Drosophila melanogaster: one gene and its partners. The protein of the gene in region 2 interacts with the protein of the main gene of each other region in a pairwise test. Each region holds a gene or a part of one and is shown on either strand. Other genes may lie near its edges.

What was found.
Region 1: the proteins of Tsf2 (region 2) and CG13887 interact in a two-hybrid assay, tested with the Drosophila melanogaster proteins (one large-scale study listed by BioGRID).
Region 3: the proteins of Tsf2 (region 2) and Tspo interact in a two-hybrid assay, tested with the Drosophila melanogaster proteins (one large-scale study listed by BioGRID).
Region 4: the proteins of Tsf2 (region 2) and Pex14 interact in a two-hybrid assay, tested with the Drosophila melanogaster proteins (one large-scale study listed by BioGRID).

The regions. Positions count from the first base shown.
Region 1 is NT_037436.4:835,169-840,949, reverse strand, and holds CG13887 (uncharacterized protein), read right to left. Parts: upstream 3,090-5,781; 5' UTR 2,830-3,089; coding exon 2,326-2,829; intron 1,848-2,325; coding exon of another isoform or gene 1,797-1,847; exon of another isoform or gene 1,701-1,796; coding exon 1,518-1,700; 3' UTR 1,019-1,517; downstream 1-1,018. Other genes in the region: JMJD5 (jumonji domain containing 5), read left to right, coding at 1-892; CG13901 (uncharacterized protein), read left to right, coding at 3,499-4,167; CG42554 (uncharacterized protein), read right to left, coding at 4,397-5,014, 5,080-5,103; CG42553 (uncharacterized protein), read right to left, coding at 5,486-5,563, 5,620-5,781.
Region 2 is NT_037436.4:12,529,175-12,536,268, reverse strand, and holds Tsf2 (transferrin 2), read left to right. Parts: upstream 1-2,544; 5' UTR 2,545-2,656; coding exon 2,657-2,717; intron 2,718-2,790; coding exon 2,791-3,218; intron 3,219-3,297; coding exon 3,298-3,431; intron 3,432-3,496; coding exon 3,497-3,657; intron 3,658-3,716; coding exon 3,717-4,168; intron 4,169-4,231; coding exon 4,232-4,396; intron 4,397-4,462; coding exon 4,463-5,521; 3' UTR 5,522-5,833; downstream 5,834-7,094. Other genes in the region: CG4069 (uncharacterized protein), read left to right, coding at 1-9, 69-757; Pmm2 (phosphomannomutase type 2), read right to left, coding at 850-1,614; CG34242 (uncharacterized protein), read right to left, coding at 2,026-2,202; nst (nesthocker), read left to right, coding at 6,234-6,334, 7,021-7,094. UniProt on the Drosophila melanogaster protein: Iron-binding protein and component of septate junctions that form the paracellular permeability barrier in epithelial tissues.
Region 3 is NT_033779.5:557,108-561,852, reverse strand, and holds Tspo (translocator protein), read right to left. Parts: upstream 2,242-4,745; 5' UTR 2,155-2,241; coding exon 1,816-2,154; exon of another isoform or gene 1,757-1,815; coding exon 1,538-1,756; 3' UTR 1,330-1,537; downstream 1-1,329. Other genes in the region: uncNacbeta (putative nascent polypeptide-associated complex beta subunit), read left to right, coding at 1-1,059; rempA (reduced mechanoreceptor potential A), read left to right, coding at 3,091-3,237, 3,312-3,910, 3,971-4,131, 4,188-4,745.
Region 4 is NT_037436.4:20,776,624-20,781,873, forward strand, and holds Pex14 (peroxin 14), read left to right. Parts: upstream 1-2,175; 5' UTR 2,176-2,309; coding exon 2,310-2,420; intron 2,421-2,479; coding exon 2,480-2,782; intron 2,783-3,054; coding exon 3,055-3,483; 3' UTR 3,484-3,755; downstream 3,756-5,250. Other genes in the region: pitslre, read left to right, coding at 1-84; Pex16 (peroxin 16), read right to left, coding at 446-1,359, 1,420-1,531; Pcif1 (phosphorylated CTD-interacting factor 1), read right to left, coding at 5,035-5,250.

The DNA of each region.
Region 1 (5,781 bases), about 12 Mb from region 2:
GGATGCGTGCAGTGAGATCCTCGATGAGGCTCAACTTTTGGGTTGCATGGAGGATTGGAGTGAACTGAAAGTCGCCCTAATGGATTATCTCGACAAGGATGGAGCAGTAGCACTGAATTCCGCACCACTTCCAACTCTAGAGCCATTAACCCGAGTAACCTCCAACTGTGATATACCCCAACTGGACGCTCCCAGTCTAGAAGAGTTCCAGACAAAGTGCTTTGAGGCAGGACAACCCACACTCCTGCTCAACACCATCCAGCATTGGCCTGCACTGCACAAATGGCTGGATCTCAATTACCTTCTCCAAGTGGCCGGGAATCGCACGGTGCCCATTGAAATAGGTTCCAACTATGCCAGCGATGAATGGTCCCAGCAGCTGGTGAAGATCCGCGACTTCCTGAGCAGACAATTCGGAAAGGAACCAAGCAAGGCTGGCCAAAATATCGAGTATCTCGCTCAGCACGAGCTCTTCGCCCAGATACCAGCCCTCAAAGAGGATATATCCATTCCCGACTACTGCACCATCAGCAACGAAGATACCCCAGGAGCTGTGGACATCAAAGCCTGGCTGGGACCAGCTGGAACCGTATCTCCCATGCACTACGATCCCAAGCACAACTTGCTGTGCCAGGTATTCGGTTCGAAGAGGATCATCCTAGCTGCTCCTGCAGACACAGACAATCTGTATCCCCACGACAGTGAGTTTTTGGCCAATACAGCGCGAATAGATGCTGCTCAACTGGATCCTGAAACATATCCCTTGGTAGCCAAGGTGAAGTTCTACCAGCTGCTCCTGCAACCTGGTGACTGTTTGTACATGCCACCCAAATGGTGGCACTATGTGAGATCTGAAGCTCCTAGCTTCTCTGTAAGCTTCTGGTGGGAGTAAGCATTTTAATGCAGTTTATTGAACAGCAAATTTATGTAGGATGATCTCTGTTCAAGTTAAGATTAAAGTATGCACTGCAAAACCACGATAGATCACTAAATATGCGAATTTGATTAGCATTTCTGGGTAATTATCAAGGAAACATATTCGATGCCCTTTTCGCACACCGATAATGTAACGCCTCCGATTTCTAAGCTCCAAGTATGCAAACAGGTTGCGACGTCTGACGTCATTGCCGTGTACTATCAGACATGATGTGGACTATCCGCGCCAACAGATGAATCATCGAATCGATCACAACTGGATGGGTACTTTTTGGTTGTTCTTTTAATAGCCACGACGCTTTTTGGGTGTGTTACTGTGGCAAACAAAACTTAACACATACGAATTAAATACAAAACTTCGGACGAAACGAACATTGAGTTGAGGGACCATTATCAATATACCCCATTATCATTATCAAATGGTATATGTAGTTGTATCTATGAGGATTAACAATAAGATGTGTGTGCTTTCTATCGATTTGAAATCGTTATAATCTTTTAAATGTGCCTGCTTTCGCTGCCCCACCGCCATGCTTATAAGTCTTATCGTTATTTAAATGTTGGACTTGGCTCCAGTGAGTTTAATCATCCTTGTTTCCGCCTCCGCCGATGGTTATCTTCTTCTGCAGCTTGCTGTACTCCTCGGTGAGTCGGTCGTACTCGCGGTTGATGCTCTCCGCCTGCGACTTAACCGCCTCCTTGTCCTTCTTTTCGCGATTCAAGTCGGAGGTTAGCTCCTGGACGCGCTCGCGCAGCTTGTTGAGCTGCAAAATTCGGATTTCGTTTGAGTTTCGATTGGATTTTTGTTCGTTTTGGGTGTTTGGGAATGGATATAAGGTGGGTGCTCTAGGTGGGGATACTTAGGACACTCGGGCGGTGAGTCCTTGCACACGTCTCCGCAGTCTTGACAGCTGTTTAAAGAGTTAACAAGAGGTTTAAACTTTCGAGTGGTGGCTTCTGTTTATCGTGGCCCAACATATGTGTTTGGGTGTGGTTTCAAAACGTTTAGCTGCGGTCAAAACAAAAGCACTAAGCCTATGACAAATTCACTCGGTCTTCAAACTGATTTAAGTTTACGTTTAAGATTTTAATCATGATATATACTGGTATTTAAAGTTCTATATCGTTAATAGACTACATTTAAAGCCTTTTCGTATCTTATATTCAAAACCAATTGAGAAAATGTACCAGAAAGTGGAATGAAGTATAGATTTTATAGATTTAGTCGGCTAAAGACATTATCTCGCCATATTTTGACCACACCTTCTATATGCATTGCCATATCTTTACAGCTGGTAGTAGCCAATTGAACTCCAAAGTCTTAGGTGTTAGCTCTCTAGACATGCCATTCCTGGGGATCGGATGCAGGGGTTTGGGACGTGGACTCACCTCGATGAGAGTGGTATCCTCGCCGGCTTCCTTGGCCTTCTCGGTGTTCTTGTTCTCCAGCAAGGAACGTGCGGCTGCAGTGGCGCTCTGTGCCTGCTTGAAGGAAGCCTCGCTCTGGGCCATGAGATTGGCCTGGGTGCAGATCAAGTTTACCAGTCGCCGGATGACCAGGGCAAGGAAAATGGCGAATCCAGAGATGTAGAAGTTCCGCTGGGCACGGAACAGCTTCATGCTGTGCTGCATCTCCACGTTCAAGTGGACCTCGTTAGACTGCTGCAAGCCGGAGTACTTGCGCATCTCGCGAATGGCCTCCAGGAGGAAAATGACCAGAATTCCCATGATCAGCAGGAAATATATGTGCGCCTGTTGTCCCAACATCGATAGGAATTTGGACTTGAAGAACCGGTTCCAGCGGTAAGGAGTGAGCACCGGCAGCACCAGCAGAAGGACCAGTGCGATTTCCGCATAGAGAAATCCGGCGATCAAAGTCCACACCAAACTCATTTTTAATGTTTTATTAATTCCCTTTTTCGTTCGATTTTCGCTTCTTGGATTTTCGCTTTTTTCGACTGCCGCCTGTAAGCAGAAATGCGTCCAAATTAGCTGCTAAGTCTACGGATTCGGGACGGACGGTCTAGTGGCTATTTATAAACTACGGCCGGAGTGACTGGCTGCTTACTTTAAATAGCAATAATTAAATCGCTGCCGTGATGAAATATGCGTATATTTTATGTAGTCACTGCGCCGGCCACGTCAACTCTGTTTTTTTGTGTACGCACGGGGCTGCCAACTCGCGCGCTGGAATCAACTGTAAATTGGGTAGCCAGAAAAAAGCTGAATTCATGGAAAATATTCGAATTTCAAAATCATTTTATTAGTAAGTAAAAAAAATGGCAAGAATTAGTACGTATTTTGCATTAAAATTAACCATTACCTCCAAATATTACAAGACAAATCGATCATAAGGTATTGTATGTAATGCTTTAAAGTGCCTTGGTAACCCGGCTTGCGATGTAAACAAGCTGGCAGCTGGGTTGCCAGGTTTCCATCGCAATGTGCTTCTCAACAAATTTTCAACTTTGCGCCATCGATCAAATTTTCTGCCCCGTTCAGTTGTTATATTCGAATCTCCGGCGGAGACGTGTGCCTAGGTAATCCCATCAATCCCCAGAGATGTCCTACCAGAACTGGCTAAACTACCTGCAGGCGGCGGAGAAGAACTCCATGATAAGTGGCCGCGCCCGCAAGGTGCTCTACAAATTCCCGGACGGCAGGCAAATGGCCGAGGAGTACAACATGGACACGGGAATCGTGCAGCGGCGGGCCTGGAAATCGAAGAGCAACAAGATCATGGGCGAGTCGGAGTGGGAAATCGAGCTGGGCGATGAGCCGCGTCAGTTAAACTGGTCGGGCAACAAGCCACCAGGATCTGGCGAGGAAACGGACTCCCTGGCCGGCGGAGATTTCACCCTGCGGGAGAGCAACACCGCGCCACTGCTGACCAAGCGGATCACCAAGAAGAACATTGAGTGGCGCATCCGCAACATGCCCTACTCCCTGGACACATACAGCGTAACCGCCGATCCCGAGAAGCGTGCCATAGTCGTGCGCACCTCGAACAAGAAGTACTACAAGGTCATCCCGGTCCCGGAACTGGACCGCTGTGGGGTCAAGCCCGCGCAGGAGAGCCTCTCTGTCCACCACCAGTTCAACACGCTGATCATTACCTACCAGAAACCAGATATCCTCTGCGAGATGGAGGCACAGGTGCTGCTTCTGCTCAAGAATGTCGACACCGAAACCGACATGGATGATCTGCTGAAGGGTCTGATGGCCAAATAAACGACTTAGATTGTAATACACAAAGTATTATTATTATTATTATTATTGTGAATTAACCTAATTTAATTTATTTAGAGAATTCCCAAATACACTTCACAAAGGGAACTGCACAAAACGTTGAAATGAAGAACGTGCCTAAAATTAAATCCTAATCACCACTCAGCGGGCACTGCATTACCACGAGATCTTTCAAATTAGTTGAAGTTTTACAAATGGATCTTAACCAGGCCTATTTCTGGAAGCTCTCAGCCATGCCGGCATAGCTGGCCAACGAAGGAGCCGAGGAGCTGGTGAACAGGCTGTAATCGAAGGAGGGCAACTCCAAGGGCGCCAAGGATGGCAGGTCCAGGTCTCCACTGCCCGCCAGCCGCTGATCGCAAGTATCGTGTTCCTGCTCCTCCTGGGCAGAATCGCTCTTCTTCAGCGTCTCCATATGGGGCTCCGAATGGGCCAGTGTGCTAGAGGCCTTTGCCACCAAGGAGGAGGTGAACTTGGCATCGAAGTCCTGCACTGTTTTGTCGATTGCCTTGGCCACCGACTGAGCGGATCCTCCTGCGCCTCCACTTGCTCCGGCTTCTGGTCGCAGGGGCAGCATGGGACTGGTTTCCTTCAAGGGAGCATAATCCTTCAGCTTGTTCAGACCATGCTGCGTCTTTCGCATCTCAATTTGACGCAGTTTGCGCTGAAAATCGAGGGTCAATGTGTCCAGAACTTCCTTGGATTTGGGCAGAGCCACCCGTTTTTGGGCATCCTGCATGTAGATTAGGGATGTTTCCAGCGCTTTAATGGCCTCCTCATAGCGGTGATTGCGTATAAATCGCTCCGACCTTCGCTCGTGGAAATGAGCCTTTGATTTGGGTAGGTAATTCCATTTAAAACCATGTAAATTCGATGTTTTCTTCGGGTTCTTACCAAGTTCAGTGGTGCGCAGTCCATGTTTTTGACTGTTTTCCCGTCCTGATTTGAAATTATATGATTGCTCTTGTAACGTTGAAATTGCCAGGCACCTAAATTTTAATAATTATATTCCCAATTGCAATATTGCCTGTTTTATGCAAGCAAAATGTCGTCTATTTTTTTGCAAGAACGCAGTTTCCAAAATTTCACTTTTGTTTACATATGTTTTATGCGCGAGGTGTGGCAGCTCTGTCATGACAACAATCGATAAGAGTCGTATGTATCGTTTCGAATTTTTAAAAACCAATCGAATTCAAATTTGAAGGATCTTTATTTAATAATTATAACAACTTTGTGTAGAGCAGTTTTTGAAAAAAAATCACATAAAATTTATTTGAATAGCCTTAACGCTTATTGGTTTTTAAAGCGGTCTTCCTGTTGCCTGCTTACCTTCGGTAAGTGCAACTGAAGCGTGTACAAAAACAGGCACATTGATACCCTGTAAAGCACAGACATTAAAGACAGGACAAAATCACATTTTCCATTCATGCATACCTGCATCTTAGCTGATCTCACAAAGGCCTTATTCGAAGTCACAGTGAAAATTTGCCTGGCCATGCCGAAACTAAAGATTTTCAGACTTCGCTCGTTTACGTTGGCAGTGAAACGTATGTGGGAGAATTCTTCGGGTATTGTTTCCACATCCGGATAAACGGT
Region 2 (7,094 bases):
GTCAAGATAGTAAGATTTAGAATCTCTGATTTATATTACTTATATTAATATCTCCTGTTTCCGTTCAGAAAACGCCGGCGATGCAGACAACAAGTACAAGTGGGCACCCGTGAAACCAGGTGGATATAAGCCCAAGCCGCGTAGCAGCGTCGGCTGCACTGTGGCTGCGAATGGCAAGGCCTATACCTTCGGTGGCGTTATGGACGTCGATGAGGACGACGAAGATGTGCACGGACAGTTCGGCGATGATCTCCTGGCCTTCGATTTGACCTCCCAAACATGGAGATTGCAGGAGATCCAAACTAAAAGCAGCAGCGCTGAGAAAAAGGATTCGGAGGAGAGCAAAGATGTGGAGATGTCGGCTGTTGATAAGCCAGTGACCACCACCACGGATGGCATTTTCACGGTCACCGTTGGCGGTCCCAGTACCAGTACCACGCCATTCGTGTCCAAAATACCCAGCCTATTCGCCAAACCCAAGCCGACGAATGTGCCATCTCCGCGCATGAATCCCGGCATGTGCGTGTGCAAGGGAACGCTGTATATTTTCGGTGGCATCTTCGAAGAGGACGACAAGCAGTTGACCTACAACGATTTCTACGCCCTGGACTTGCACAAACTGGAATGGAAGGTGCTAATCCCCAATAGCTTGAAGGGCCACGAATGGGAGGATAGCGACAGCAGCAGCTCCGACGAGGAGTGCAGTGGCAGCGAGGAGGATATCTCCAGCAGCAGCTCGGACATGGACACGGATTAAGAATTTCCAGTGACTATATATTAAATTTGGTTAACAATTGTACACATGTATAAAAATGGAATATTTTCAACTGCTGAGTAAGCTCGAAATTCTCACAGCTCCAGAATCTCGGTGAGAATGCGTTGCGTATCCTTGGGAGTATATACCCTATGGCTGATGGTTCGAGGATCGCTATAGATCTCATAGTCATTGCCGCCCGGCTCCGTTTTATCGCCAAAGAAGTGGATTTCCTTGAACTTGTAGTGCGCTTCGATGTGTCGCAGGCAGTAGGTCTTGTCCCAACCATGCGGGAAGACATCGAAGCTGATCTGACCACCAATCGAGTACGTGAGATCCACATCGGCAAACTCCTGCTTCAGGTCCTTGATCATTTTCTCGCGCACCTTGTGCTCAATGTCGTACTCGGCGAACATGTTGCGCTCCTCCCGAGTGCACTGCCTGCCAATGGGACAAACGTTCATCATGCCATTCCGGAATTCGATAAAGGTGCCCCTCTTGATGGGCACATCCAGTTCGGACAGATAGCGCAGCACAAAGTTGATGAAACGCTTCACCGTCTCCTCGCCCAAATGCATGATGATATTCTGCTTTCCCACCTCCTTTCCGCCCTCAATCTGCACCAGCCCATTTTCCGGGAATATGAAGTCGAACTCGTTGAGTATCTTCCTGCCATTCAGCTGCTCGAACATCTTCTCCAGATCCGAGCCTCCGACGATTCCGATGGTCGCCCTCGGCTTAACCCGCGAGTAGAAGAACTCCTCGAACTCCGGAGTGACCACGGATCTGGGCATCGTTAACGTGCCGTCCACGTCGAAGAGCAGCAGGATTTCATCACGCTTCAATGCGGCGGTGGTCATTTTGCATTTAAATTTTGTGGTAAATCAGCAGGTGTTTAATATCCAGATATTTATGTCCACGTATGATTCGAGATAAAGAATTTTACAAGCGGCAACGCAGTGGTGAGAAATCCCCTAAAGCTTTCGATGCACCGGCAAGGGGAACCAGTTCCGGAATCCAAGTGCAATCAAAATTAATGTTTTGAATTGCCTTTTACGTTAGGTTTACTATTTAAAACAATGAGAGTATAAACATTCAAGCACAATCATTTGGATTTTCCTGCATGTATAGGTAACAGTTTAATTCATGGAGTTCATGCTGTCAGGGTACAAATAGTTTCTATTTTAATAGCAATTTGTACATTGCAGTTCTTTATCAGGCAAACTAGAATACACATATTTGGGTTCTTAAGTGTAGCATAACAGGGGGTTCTACTGCCTTTTAATGTGCTGCAGTTCATCTCTCTTGATTTTGCTGTATTCCTGCAGGGTTTTGTATTTCTCAGTGTTAACCATGGGGTCCACAATGACGGGGTATAGGGTGAGGCCCACGGCGCCCACGATGCAGGACACGAATCCAACGAATCTCCAACCACGCAGGACTGCCATTTAGCTAAAATATGGAATATTTTAGCTGACTTTTCGGTTTGTTATTATAAAACACAAAACACCTGGTTGACCGTAAGATGCTAGAAAACGCCAAGTGTGTGGTCACACTACTGTGGTCACCGGTGAAGTGCAGTAAATACTACAGAAGAGATAACCTGATAGAAAGTAAAATATAAATAAACAAGATTACTGTATATATAATAAAAATAGATATAGGTATAGATTAAACTAGAAATATCCTGAATGCTAAATATGTTTCTTGATTCATATCTCACTTAAGCATTCTCCACTGTGTGTACCTGTTGGTATTTTTTGAAATCATGTCTATTTCTGCCCGCTCTGGTTACACTGGCTTCCTTGAGCTGGGCTTGGGTGTGGTGTTTTGTTTGAGTAATTGTTTTTGCAGATAGATCTTTTTAGTTAATACACTTATTAATATTCTTATATCCCGAATATGGCTAGCAGCCTCGTTTTTGTGGCTCTAGTCGGCGCCTTATGTTTTACGCTCGCTAACGGTAAGTTGCGGCTGGAATACGAAAGTCGCCCATTTCTAGGGCGTTGGCATGAGTTAAAACCACGATTTTGCAGCACAACATCACTACGATGAGCACAAGACCACACGGATGGTGTGGTGCACCAAGAGCCAGGCGGAGCAGTACAAATGCCAGAACCTTACGGTGGCCATCGAGCGGGATCGGGCACTATTCGACGAGGTGTTCCTCAATCTCACCTGCTTCATGGCCTACAGTGCGGATGAGTGCATCCATCACATTGATCGCGAGAAGGCACACATCACCACGCTGGATGCGGGCGATGTCTTCACTGCTGGACGGTACAACTCCCTCATACCCATTATGCAGGAGAAACTGGAGGGCGGCTTTGCGGACTATCAATCCGTAGCCGTGATCAAGAAGGGATCTCTACCAGACTTGAACAATCTGCGCGACATGCGCAACAAGAGGGTGTGCTTCCCCTGGGTGGGCAGCTTGGCCGGTTGGATTGTGCCCATTCACACGGTGAGTAGAACTCCTCTTTTAAGTTGATTGTTTATTTGTTTCATTAGGCAACTAACAAACAAATTTTATCGTTTTGCAGCTCCAAAGGGAGGGCGGCATGGAAGTGGTGGACTGCAACAACCAGGTGAAGACGGCCGCCAGCTATTTCAATAATTCGTGTGCTGTGTACTCGCTTTCCGACAAACACAATCCAATTGGCGACAACTCCGATAAGTAATGACGCATAAAAGCCACAATTTTACACACATTAACTAACAACAAATCAATTTTCAAACCAGACTTTGTACGCTTTGCACTGGAAAGATACCCGGAGGACGCTGCTCATCTGCAGATCCCTACTTCGGCTACGAAGGCGCCTTCAAATGTCTGCTTGAAAAAGGAGATGTTGCCTTCTTGCGCCATTCGACTGTGAATGAAATGCTGCAAACCACCGAATTCAGTGAGTTACCAAAGGGAAACTTCTGAAAACCCATTACTGATCTAAGCTGCGTTTTTTAGAGAACATAGCACCCGACACTTTTGAGCTGCTGTGTCGTGATGGTCGTCGTGCCTCCATCAACGATTATCGCCAGTGTAATTGGGGCCAAGTGCCCGCCGATGCCATTGTCACATCTTCGGCTCGCAGCTTCAGCGATCGCAAGCAGTATCAGCAGTTTTTGAAGCGCATTGCCGAGCTGTACTCCGATGGCACACGTGATGATCAGAGCAGGCAGGGAGGACAAAGCTTCAACAGCCGCAACAACATCAACGATCAGAATGCCTATGGCCAGTTCGATAATAATGATCCGTACAGAACGCAGAATCAATACGATCAGTATCGCAGCGAACGATTGGACAGCAGTTTTGCAGAGGAAAGAAACCAGCAGGACGGCACGAACACTTCCATACTCTATGAGAAGTTCCGCATCTTCGAGTCGAAGCGCTATGGCAAGCCAAATTTGCTGTTCCAGGTAAGTGGATCATATTTTCCGTGATCCGAAATACATACTTAACATTCAATTGTTTTGTGACAGGATTCTAGTCGCGCTCTAACCGTGATTCCCGAAGATGATCAGTCATTTACCAAGTACCTAGGCCCTGCCATTAACTTTATCTACGGCATCCGTGAGTGTCCAGTTCCAGCGATGACGCTTTGCGTGACTTCGGAGAATGAGCTTGATAAATGCATCAAGATGAGGGTGAGTTGAAGAGTGAATATATGGATAGCAAGATGAGTTGATGATCCTTTACAAAAACACTTTTAGACTGCCTTGAAAGCTCACCTCCTGAAACCAGAACTCATCTGCAAGAAAATGCACTCCCACATCAACTGCATGCAGTTCATCGAAGCGGGCAAAGCAGACATCTCCGTTTTCGATGCCGGCGATGTCTACACTGGTGGCCTCAACTACGACCTGGTGCCCTTCATGTCGGAGGTGTACAATCTGGGCGAGCCCGAGTATTATGTGGTTGCCGTGGCCAAGGAGGATGATCCCGATACGGAGCTAACTTACCTGAAGGGTAAGAATACCTGCCATACGGGCATTAACACCGCCGCTGGCTGGACATATCCGATGGCGCTTTTCATCTCGAACGGCTGGATTCGTCCCTACGGATGCGATTCGGTTCGAGCTGCCGCGGAGTACTTCACCAAGTCGTGCGTGCCGGGTGCCATTAGCAATGAGTACAACACCGGTGTGCCCTACGACAGCATGTGCGATCTGTGTCATGGAACTAGCTATCGCTATTGTCGTCGCGATGCCTCCGAGGAATACTACGGGCACACGGGTGCATTCCGTTGCCTCGTCGAGGGCGGCGGTCACGTGGCCTTCATGAAGCACACCACGGTGATGGAAAGCACGGGCGGCAAACGCAAGGAATGGTGGGCCAGGAATGCCCTAAACGATGACTTTGAGCTGCTCTGCACGGATGGTACTCGTGCCGAGATCCAGGACTACAAGCGCTGCAATCTGGGCAAGGTTAAGGCCAATGCTGTGGTCACCCGCGGCGGAGTCAACTACAACGAGACCCAGATGAATGCCTACATCAATCTGCTGACCTATGCCCAACAACTGTACGGTCGCAAGGAAGTGGACGCCTTCAGTTTCAGCATGTTCTCCTCGCCGATCGGGCACTATGATCTGATCTTCCAGGACGCCACGCGGCAGCTGCAAGTAATTCCGCCCAATAAGCGCAGGTATGATGCCTATTTGGGCAGCGATTTTATGCGAGCACGCCGCATCACCGACTGCTATGCTGGTGCCTCCCAGTTGGCATTATCCGTGGGCCTGCTCCTCGTGGGTTCGCTGGTTGCAATGCTCTAAGCCACTAGACTCACTTAGATTTCAGAATTCTACAAGCATCTCTAGCACAAAGAGAAAACATATCAACATTTTTACATTCCAAATATGATTAAGTTAAATGTGAAATCCCTTCCGTCCGAAAATGAAACTCTAACTAGCCGAAAAATATCTGTTGAAGGCTATAGTTTATAATTTATAAAGTCCTGTGCCTTATTATAGTATTTGTTTGTGTACATACCAACTAAGACCGTCCAAAAAATGTACCTAGGAGATGTAAGCCGAATCTTTTACAACCGCTTATGTAAGTATACAAATAAAATAACTAGATAAAGGAGTTATTTTGCTTATTTTGAATTAGTATCATTTGAAGAATCCTAATATCTTGACCGCAATTGTAGCCGCCAAATTCAAATTGAATATGTGCGCTAACATCGCTTTGAAACATAGATGTTATTGAAATTTACGCTGGTAAATATTGCATTTAACCTTAAAACACTCTGTATTGTTTATAAAGCCAGTAAAATGTTTGAAATTAAAGAAAATAGCGTAGTTACAAGTTTCAGCGCAGTGTGACCGCTTGGCCGCATAAGCAAGGGTGGAACAGTGCCGCGAAACGACGGTCACACCCGCCTGCACACATCTGTGGAATTGTTAAATTTCGAAAGTCCGGAAAAACCGGACGGAACCTTTCACCTCGCTCTGGACCAGTGGCACCGCCCTCGAGTATCGCAAGATGTCTATTAACCTGCGCACCGTCTACGCCTTCGCCCGCGAGATGTACCCAAAGACCTCCAAGGAGACCATCCAATATGGAACAGCTGGCTTTCGCGGCAAGTGAGTAGTTGCCTCCATTAACGATCTTAATAATCATCATAATCATTATGCTAACACACCCACACGATGCACACGTTGGCGCATTTGATTAGCACACGGCGATTGTTGGTGGTTTTTTTTTTTTTTTGATAAATGGGCGGTTGCAGGGCTGTGATGTTGGAATTTGGCGTTTATTTTTAGATATTGTTCACCTTTTATCAATGGACATGCCCTTCTTTCGCCGTTATGTCTGCCTGTATGTGCGTAAGTGTGCGTGCATGTGCATATGTGCATACATACTGACGCACAGTCGCGGGCAGCGAACTAGTGCCACATGTGCAAGTTGCAATATTTTCAAATCTCAATGATTAATAACTTGTTATTTGTGAAAAATGAACCAACTAAGTATTTGATTACATAGTTTGTGGTTTCCGCGCCCTTATTTTCTAACCACTTTACAGCCAGATAACAAAGTTTCCATGACACACCTACTGATAAAAGCAATTGCAACGCCTAAAATGAGCAATACACAGTGCTTCTATAGGCTTATCAATCCAGCGAAGATAAAATAGATAGCTAAAGTGATAACACACATATAAACAAACAACATTAGGTACAAAACATTTTCCAACTCCAAAATACAAGCTAAAAGATACTTTTGTATCTAAACAAAATCCTGATGTAATAACTCCGCATTTTTTTTTTAGGGCTGAGTTCCTGGACAGCGTGATGTTCCGCATGGGCGTTCTGGCCACCCTGCGTTCCCGGTATCGCGGAGGCT
Region 3 (4,745 bases), on a different chromosome or scaffold from region 2:
AATGTTCCAAAACAGGAATCACCACCACAGAGTGCTCCCAAACAGGATTCCCCACCAAAGGGTGCTCCCAAACAGGATTCCCCACCAAAGGGTGCTCCCAAACAGGATTCACCACCAAAGGGTGCCCCTAAACAGGATTCAGCGCCACAACAAAAGACTCCACCACCAGTTAAACAGGAAGTAGCACCAGCTAAGCAGGATGAACCACCAGCTAAGCAGGATGCACCACCAGCTAAACAGGATGCACCAGTTCCAGTTCCAGAAGTTATCAAAACGCTAGCACCGGAAGTCCCCAACGTTTCTCAGGCACCTGCACAACCTCAGGGTCAGGCTGCTCTCGCTTCTGAAAAACCAGCGGATGCGCCAAAGGCCATTGAGGAACCGAAGGCTGCACCCAAGAAGGAATCACCACCACCCACAAAACCAGTGACGGCAACAGTTCCGGTAGCACCTGCCACTCCTGCTGAGGCGCCATCTCCTCTGGCTCCCTCCACTCCGCCATCGACTCCCACCTCGGTGCCGCCCTCTGCAGCGACAGTGACTCCTCCATCTCCCGCCACGGTGACTCCTCCGTCGCCTGCTGTAGTTACTCCGCCTCAGAAACAGTCGGCGGCTCCCCAAGCGGGAATCAAGAAGCAGGAGGCAGGAACGAAGACAAAACAGCAGCAGCCAGCCAACAAGCCCCAACAACCGCAAAAGCAGCCACCAGGAGGAGCAGGAGGATCAGCTGGGCCAGGAGGGAACAAGGGCGTGCAGAAACAGCCGAACCCCAATGCCAAGCCAGCAGTTGCTCCAAAGCCGGCCCAGGCCACTCCAAAACCCGCTGCTGCTTCTCCAAAAGCATCCCCCAACCAGACGAATCCACAACAACAGCAGGGAAAAGCAGCTAACAAAGCGTCTCCTCCAAAGCAAACTGGACCAACTGGGGGGCAGCAGAAGTCGGCGGCGAACGCCTCGAAGGCCACAGCCTCCCCGAAATCGGCTGCATCCCCAAAAGCCACCTCCCCGAAGGCCGGAACTCCTACCAATCCTGCTTCCGCCTCTGGGGGTCCCAACTGATCCTCCTTCAGTCTATTTTCTAATCGGCGCCCTTGCATTTCAAACTCACTCGCATTTTCAGAGCCCATTTTCGCCTTCGTTAATCTCTGATGAACCCGGGTACTAACCGTTTTTTGATTATTTGTGGCCTTTACATTTTTGAATAAAATTATGATTTAACAAAGACTGAAGTGAATCGAGAAATTCTTTCTCAATATCTTTGGTTATTCCATTGCAATGTCACAACAAATTGTAGCCTATTAATCGTTCTCGAGAATAGCATTGAAAATTACGATTCTTTAATTTATTATTAACACATAACACATAGGGAATTTTTGAACGTGCAGCAGCATATGATACTTTGAATTTAGCGCCCCATTGGAGGCACTGCTTATCGATATTTTATCCAACTTTGCCCAGCCCTGGTTCGATAGGTCGGAAAGCCCTGCAATTTGCATGAAAGACACCCAAAATTACTTGTTTTTCGTTTATCCTGGGCTTAACTCGACTTAGCGTGGCTGCTAGAGGGCTTCTCCTCGTCCTTGGGCGCCTGCTCCTTCTCCGGGTTCAGCTTCCAGATGGCGTAGTTCAGAGCCGTCGCGAATCCCAGCCAGGCGACGTAGGGTACGAAGAGCAATCCAGCGGTCTTGTTCACTCGGTAGAACAGAACGCCGCAGGCGGACGCGGCGGCCGTGAGTGCAACTATGTCAATAAGGCCCTGGTGGATGAAGCGGATTAGACATAACACCTGGGCTTGGTGATATCAGCAGTACTCACGCCCTTGATGTTGTGCTGCCCGAAGAAAATGGGCGTCCACGCCCAGTTCAAGGCCAGCTGGGTGCCGTACGCGATCAGGGGCAGTTTGGCCGCCTCGCCGGCGAAGCCTCCGCCATCACGCCACACCAGGTAGGAGCCGTAGCCCATTCCCGCGTACAAGGAGATCCACATCGGCGCAAAGACCGAGTTGGGCGGCTTGAAGGACGGGAACTTAAGGTTGGCGTACCAGCTCTGGAGATGCTGCCTGGTCAGCCGCCCGTTATAGATGCCGCCCAGATTGGGCAGAATCACGGCCCCGGCGATGCGGAGAATGTTTCCAGCACACGGACGATCAGCCATTTTCAGAGTTCGCACTGCAAATGAGGCGCAGTAGTGGCGAACCTTCTGGTTTCACTGTTTTGTTTGCCGGTGATTTCATTCGAATGCACGAGTATTGCGAGTTAACGGGGCGAATACGCGACGGATGATTGTGTGGGTAAGCTCCAGCGATGCCAATTTGGCTAGATTTAAACTAGCTAAAGTATGTGGAATGCAACTTGAAATCAAAGACGCTAGAATTAATTAATAGAATCGCATGGTTATTTAGAGCTGTGAACATTTGATTTCTGCCATGAAGGAATTCTCATGTTTTTCTTTAACATGCTATCTGATTAATAGGGATTTAATATTTATCTGGAATTTTGGCAAAGCTGCAAAGTCATTGCTAAGCCGTTAATAGCTGGTTGTCACATGTGCAGGGGAGGAGCATAATGCTTATCAATAGATTCCAAAATGATGTAATGAATGAGTAATGTCGTCGATCTATGGAAGTAATTATTATAATTATATCTACCCATTCGTATTTATTTAAAATTATCTTCGCTGCTGGGTGTCGGAATCACCCTGTGGGTAGGCAGATTTAACAAAACCCGTTAAGTTTTGAAAATAGAAATAGAACTGTATTGTTGGGAAGTACCATATTAAATTCCCTGGAAAAGTTTTGTTTAGCTTGTTTGTTTGTTTTACCCCATGACAAATCGTGCGATCAAGTGGTGAATGATAACTTGAGAACTCATAAACCAAAGAGTTATTTGTCGGTAAAGTGAATTAATGGTGAAATAAAACTATTGTGCTTATTTGCTCTTTGCAATATCCAATAACCTGGATCAAGTTGGTATCTCAATTAATCAATTGCTTAGGAGCAACCATGACAACCGTTGCTAGGCAAACACATTGTTACTGTGTTTTGGCTCCTGCCAAAACAAATTCATCCACTAAAGGTGGAAAACCGGTGTGATGACTCTCTACTTTGACACGAAAATCGAGTTCTTGGACTCGGATGCAGTGAGCACCATCAGCAGCTGGCATCCCAGTGAGCCGCTCTTCGCAGTGGCCTCTTTTAGTCCCGAAAGAGGCGGTTCAGTGACCATCTTTGCAGATACCGTCAGTATTAATCGCTTTGGTCGCAGACCCTGCCAAAAATCGGAATGTATATAATCTATATAATCAAATTGCAGGGTGAGCCCCAGCGAGATGTAACTTATCCGGTGCACGCCACTTCGCAAGCGACGGCACTATGCTGGCATCCGGAGAAGGCGCTCCTGGCCAGCGGTTGGGAGCACGGCGACATCCATGTGTGGTTCGCTGGTCACAGGGAGTTTGCCAGCGTGAACGCACCGCACAAGGCGGCCATCGTCCTGCTGCAGTTCAGCGAGCAGGGCGGGCGGATGGTCACGGCGGATGCCATGGGCTTGGTCACCGGATGGCGCTGCGATGGCCAGTACCAGTTCCTAACCATGTTCTCCCACGACCTGCGGGAGGTGTTGCTGCTGATCTGCTTCCGCCTTACGGTGGAGAGTGAGGTGCGCGAGGAGATGGCCAATCTAGCCAAGGCTGCTGTGGCAGGCGATGAGAACGCCCTGGACACCCTAACCAATTGGAGACCGCGCACAGCAGCCCGGAGCATGACCCATTCGGGGGTGCGGGACAACCACTGCTTCTACGCTTGCACCCAAGGAGGAGTGGTGTACTACATCAACCAAGGAGGCGCCTGTGTCGAGGTGATGAAGTGCGGATCACTGCCTCCCATTGTCCAGATGTTGTGGCACCCAAGAAAGTAAAGAGCTGTTGAGATCGAAAGGTTCTTTACCTGAACCCTAACATTATTCCATTCTAGGGACGCCGTCATTTGCCTGATGGAGGACTTGACAGTCACCTTGTTTTTGGTTGAATCCACAGGCATCCTTACGGAGCTGGATCGTGTTAAAATGAGCGGACGTGGAGGCGGTCGGCAGGGAGGCATCGCGTGGTCTGGAAACTCTTTAGCCATCATAACAGGTAGGATATATTATTCGATTTTTCACTTCTGTGCTAAATTTAAGACTAATTTTCAGGCGATTTTTTCGTCCGCATTTGGGACATCGAGAGAAGCGACAATTACCTATTGAAAATGGACCTACCCAGTGGCAACCAGCCAGGCTCATCTATGACCACTTTAAGTAATGGCACCATGTCCTCGTCCAACCAATTCTTTAGCCATGACAGCAGCGAAAGCAGCGGCGTTCTCCGCAAGACACCAAAGTACGGCCAGCTGAACGGCGAAATGTTCACCTGCTTGGCATATAGCTCTACGGGACAGACTCTGTGTGCAGGAACGTCCCAGGGGAATGTCTATACTTGGAAGAGGAGCGGCAGCAGGCTAGTCGGTGCCCCCGAAGATGCCTGGCAGCTGACGAACATATCTTCCGTGCGAGGAGCCATCCGCAGCTGCGAATGGGGATACAATGAGCTAGCCAAGCCCTGCATGCTGGTCAACTGCCTTTCCAATGTTTTCATGCTGAAGGAGCAACCTCTGCTCGCCGTTCATACCCGCGAACTGTGGGCAGTTCAGAGGTCAGCCAAATCAGTGCAATTGACGCACTGCAGCGGTCGGGAGGCCATTGTTCAGTCCG
Region 4 (5,250 bases), 8.2 Mb from region 2:
TCGGCTAGCACGGGATTTGTCCTGAACGCTGGAATAACGCAGCGCCAGTTGGCCATGGGACCGGGATTCAGTCTGAAGTTCTGATTCTGTGTGTTTTAGCCCATTACGATTACGATTAATTGTTATGTATAGTTAGCGATGTAAGTGGAAAATTTCGTTTAATTGTATGTGTATAAATATTGTTCCATATATAATTTAAAAAGCCATACAAAGCAATTGGGATGTATAATCATTTTTCACCTCAAGAGCGGCAATGCCATGTGGGTGGGTCAATTCAAGGAATATGAAAGTTGGCTATAAACATATCGAAAATTACTCCATCGTTTTATTGTGCAAACAACTTTTCAAGGACCAAAACTCAACCCACCCTCAACACTCCGAATGCGTCCACACCTGTAACTTTAAAACTTAGCCTAGGGGAATACTAACGCTCTACCTGAAATGCCTAAGTGGACCACAGATAGAAGTAAGTGCTTTGCCACGTGGGAATGTAATCTTTAAGGGGTTTGGCAACCACCTTAGCAATGGGCACACTTGTGGCCACAAAGTCGAGGATCCGCTCCAGTCTGGATTTGGTGAAGCTGTCATAGAACGGCGATCGGACCAGGAAGTACATGATGTTTATGCATCGCCTGCTCAGCTCCAGTTTTTGTTGCTTGGACATTAGGTCGCGATGCTGGCGGTAGAGGTGAATGCTATACAAATCAATGGATAATGCTACCATATATTGCTTCCAACTTCTCCGGCCGAACAGCCCCATGGCGACCAGGTGGATTAGTGGCTTCGATATATACAGGTATTCTGCTTGCAGGAGTTTCCTCGGAATTTGCGTCTTCGCCGCTTCATTGTTGTCTATATGAAGCTTGAAGTCGCGGTATTGCAGGGGAGGAGCACCCTCCACTTTACGAATCACACGGCCAGATCGCTTCAATTGGAAGGTAATGGAGTGCTGGGACTGCAATAAATCGTTCGTGGAGGAGGCCACACCATCCCCCGAATTCTTCCTCTGTTTGGCCCTTCGATTCAGTGCGGCGATGGGCGGTGAGGTGATTATATCCGAGGTTGAGTGTTTCAAGATAAAGAAACGGCCCGCTGCCTTGAAGGCCTGTATTAGCGCTATCACCAGCCACTTGCCGGATTGACCGAAAAGCCGACGGGCTGATATCTCGATGAAAACCTCGCTATATTCGAGCGTCGTCAACGTGACCTTTAGACGGTAGCAAAGTTTCGATTGCAGGTGGATCACCGAATTCTCCTCGGAATTGCGTGCCTTTTCGATGATCCGGTCGTTGTAGAACACCAGCATGTTTGACAGTGTATATACCAGCTCACTGACCACATTTGATGAGGAAATGCGACCTGGAAGCCGGCCAATGAGATGAGTCTGTAGGCTCTATGTAAGCAAGGAGTTCACTTTACCTGCTATAAAGTAGGATACCCACTTGGCTGTGGTCTCAAAATCCCCCACCACGTCGGGGTTTTTGCCCACCCACGCCTCGTACGCCTTCAGCATGCCCTTCAGAGTGTCCATTATATCCGGAAAATATTGTCTGTTCCTCCAAATAATAAAAATAATGAGGTGTTTCGGTCTACAGGTAATCAAATCGGTGCAGTTGTGGTGTTCTGGCGTTTTGAACAAGGCGTTAGTGCTTTCATGCAACACAAAATAGAAGGTGACGCAAAATGAATACATATATGAATGCAAGCACGGAGAGCGTTGATTAAACGCTTTGGATTAATAAAATTGGTACAAAAATAAATACCAAATACCAGTGTCACGAGCTTATCGCCATTACACTTTCAAATTTTACCACATTGGTGCTTACACGTCATAGAAAAAGAAACTAATAATTAAGGACCCACAATTTGTAAGAACCACATTTGGCATATCTGCCACCAACCTTTCATAGCCCCTTTTAATGTTCTTCAATGTAAAGATTTGCTTGTTTAGTCTCGGCATCTTAATTCAAGTTTCCTGATTCTTTATACTGCAGTATATTTTTATTGGGTATATTATGCATTTAAAATTTTAGCCCAGGTACTATGTTCTTTATAATAGAAACATTTCTTACCAAATTTTTCGGTAAAAACATTTTTCCAAGTTCAAATCTTTATTACGTTACAAATTACCTTAACGTTATACATAATAACCCTAGAAACGCTAATGCATTAGTAATTTCGAGAGCAGCAAAGTCTTTGGTCACACTTTTGTTTTTGTGCACTTTGTAATCGAATTGCTCGTGAATTCGGATTCACTCCGTTTTCGTGTGTATTAGCTAGGCAAGATTGAATTAAGAGTCGATATACAGATGTCCAGCAACAACACGGACACTGGGGACACCACCGTCATGGCGACGGCTACCTCGGTGCAGAACGATGTCGAGGCCGGCGTAGATGAGCAATTGCCTCGAGAATCGCTGGTAATATTTGTTCAACCCCTTCAAGTTTGCCTAATCTATAATCCGACTATTCGCCGCAGATAACCACTGCAGTCAGTTTTCTACAAAACACCAAGGTGCGCCACACGACACTTATCCAGAAGCAGCAGTTCCTACGGTCCAAAGGTCTCACCGCTCACGAAATTCAGCTGGCCTGTGAACGGGCCGGCGTTTTCACCCAAGACCCCAACAAGCCCAATCCGAATCCGAACACCGTCATTAGCATTGGATCCCAATTGCACGCGCTGCAGCCGCAGCCGACTGTCTTGGGCCGGATCAGGGAAATCATCCATTCGGCAGCCCTGTTCAGCGGAGTCGTCTACGCAGTCTACATCTTCTGGAAGGTGAGATGCAGTGGGATCTCTATTTCGGGGTCTTTTAAAAAGATTTATTATATTTACTCCACCAACTCGAGTGCGAATTTAAAGATCGCCATCTTGTCTAAGGCTTAGATACATTACACATATATTTGATGACACTTTTACCAGACGACGTTGAATTTACTTAGTATTTAACACATTTTGTAAAAGTGTTAGGACGCATAAATAAGTTTTAAGTGGTCCACCAGTCCAAAGTCCATGATTGCTAATAACTTCTAAAACCCGTATAATTTCAGCAATACATTGCGCCCTACCTGTTCGGCAAGTCCAAGAAGAAGGCGGTCGATGAAGTCCTGGACGACATAGACAAGAAGGTAGAGACCCGCACCAACGACCTCAACAAGGAGATTTTGGCGGTCAGGGATCTGATCACCACACAGCAAAGGGAACACGCCCAGCAGCTGAACCGCGAATTTAGTAACTTCCGTAGCGATCTGGATGCCATTAAGGGCCTGCTTTTGAACCGAAAACAGTTCGCCGGCCCTGTGGCTCCGATCGCAGTGCCATCCATTCCCGCCTGGCAATTGGCCGGCTCACCGCATCACCATCACCGGCACAGCGGGTCGGACGACAACGAGAAGGGCGATGATGCTGGATCCGGGTCTGGCTCGTCGGAGACAGAGGTGGTCACCAAGAATAGTGACTCCAGCTTGGAGATCATGTAATGCAATCAGAATACGAGGCTGGCTATATAGACGTAGTATATAGTTACGCTGTAAATTGAGTTTCCCCGTTAAATGCCTTCAAGACTTTTGGTTTTTTTTCTTTGCGTTTATAGCATTTAAGGTTTCTTTATAGTCAACAGCTAATCCATATCCAAAAGTACATACACACACTCACATATACACACTTATGCGATACGATGTCTATACAATGTAATAATAAAAAGTTTACATAATAACAGGTTTGAATTGAAAGAAACTGTTTAATTAAGCGCAAAAATGCTTTGTGTAGTTTTTTGTTTATCGGTACATACGGGGTGGGGATAGCATATCGGTTTAGACAATAAATTTCGACTTAGACGATAATTGGATTCTAAAAATTTTGCCGAGTGCTACTTTCTATAAATTGGCTAAATTCCCTTAGGTTTGATTTAAGATTATGCCGGGCGGAGCACCTCGAGGTTTTGCCTACAAGCTCCTTGAAGACTCCACCCAGATCCTTAACGGATTTAAATTATTTATTTATTGTGCGGTGCCTAGTTATGGTTTTGTTTCAATTACAAATTTGGTTCTCTGCGCATTCCCTTCATTAAATTTCCTTCACTACTTACGTTAGTTATCGATTTGTACATACGATAATTTAGTATTCAAATAATTGTTTGCCATTTTCGTAAAAGTTAATGTATTCTAGTAAGTTAATATTCTCACAAACGATTGTTAAGGGCTTCACAGTTCACATGAATGTGTTCTTTATTTCTCACTTCGTTTTGTGAATGGACAAACCATTGCGAAATACCCTGAAACAAGGATAGAGAACAGTACCCCTACCCATACTATGTATGCATTATTAGAGTCTTTTGTTGGGTAGCTTGGCCCTTGTTTGTTGGGTACAATCGTATAAGATAAACAGCGGCCAGGCCGGCATTTTTATCAGCTATTTCAAATTAAATATAACATATTTACAATTAATTATACCTTGCGATGGGGGCAATACCAGCTGCCAAAGGCCGAGCACTGTGTACGTTTGAAAATTAAAGCTTTGACAAGAAGTACAAAAATGTGTACGTTTGAAAATTAAAGCTTTGACAAGAAGTACAAAAATGTGTAACAAAATATTTAGTGTTTTAAAGCCTGTTGTTTGACCCAAACGTAATTTACCATTCGGACAGGCATCATTTGATTAACACCGAGCGATGTGTAACGTTACAAATTAAGTTTTTAAAATAAGAAATTACAAAATATTGCGTAATATGTATATGCGTTTTCCTGGTTCCAACGATACATTTTGAAAACGGAATTGGATAGTTGTACTTTTTCGGAAAAACAGAAGTTGCCATCCCTTTGGCTTCCGCGTTTGTTTAAATTAAAGCGATTATCATCCGATTACACAAAACTAAACCTCAGAACTGGGAGCATGGCCGCTAGTGTGGCTTCAGGCCCAATTGGTTTTTTCTTCCTCAAATGTAACCCTAATTTATGCTAACAGAAAGTGCACAGATAGTATGGACAAAATAGAACCATGTGTGGATAGCAAGATCCCAAAAAGAATCAAATCTAGACGGCTGAGTTGATGACCGCTTGCGTGGATGCGGAACTACTGATGCTATTGGCCTGGCCAAATGCAGATCCCGCTCCAGCAGCCGATGTGGTAGTCGTTGCCGTAATGCTCACCGCTGCCGCTGTGGCAGATGTCACTCCATCCGGATAGCCGCCCGAAGCAGGAGCCGGTGAAAGAGACATCGTCGACGAGGAGGGCGAAGAGCAATCGCT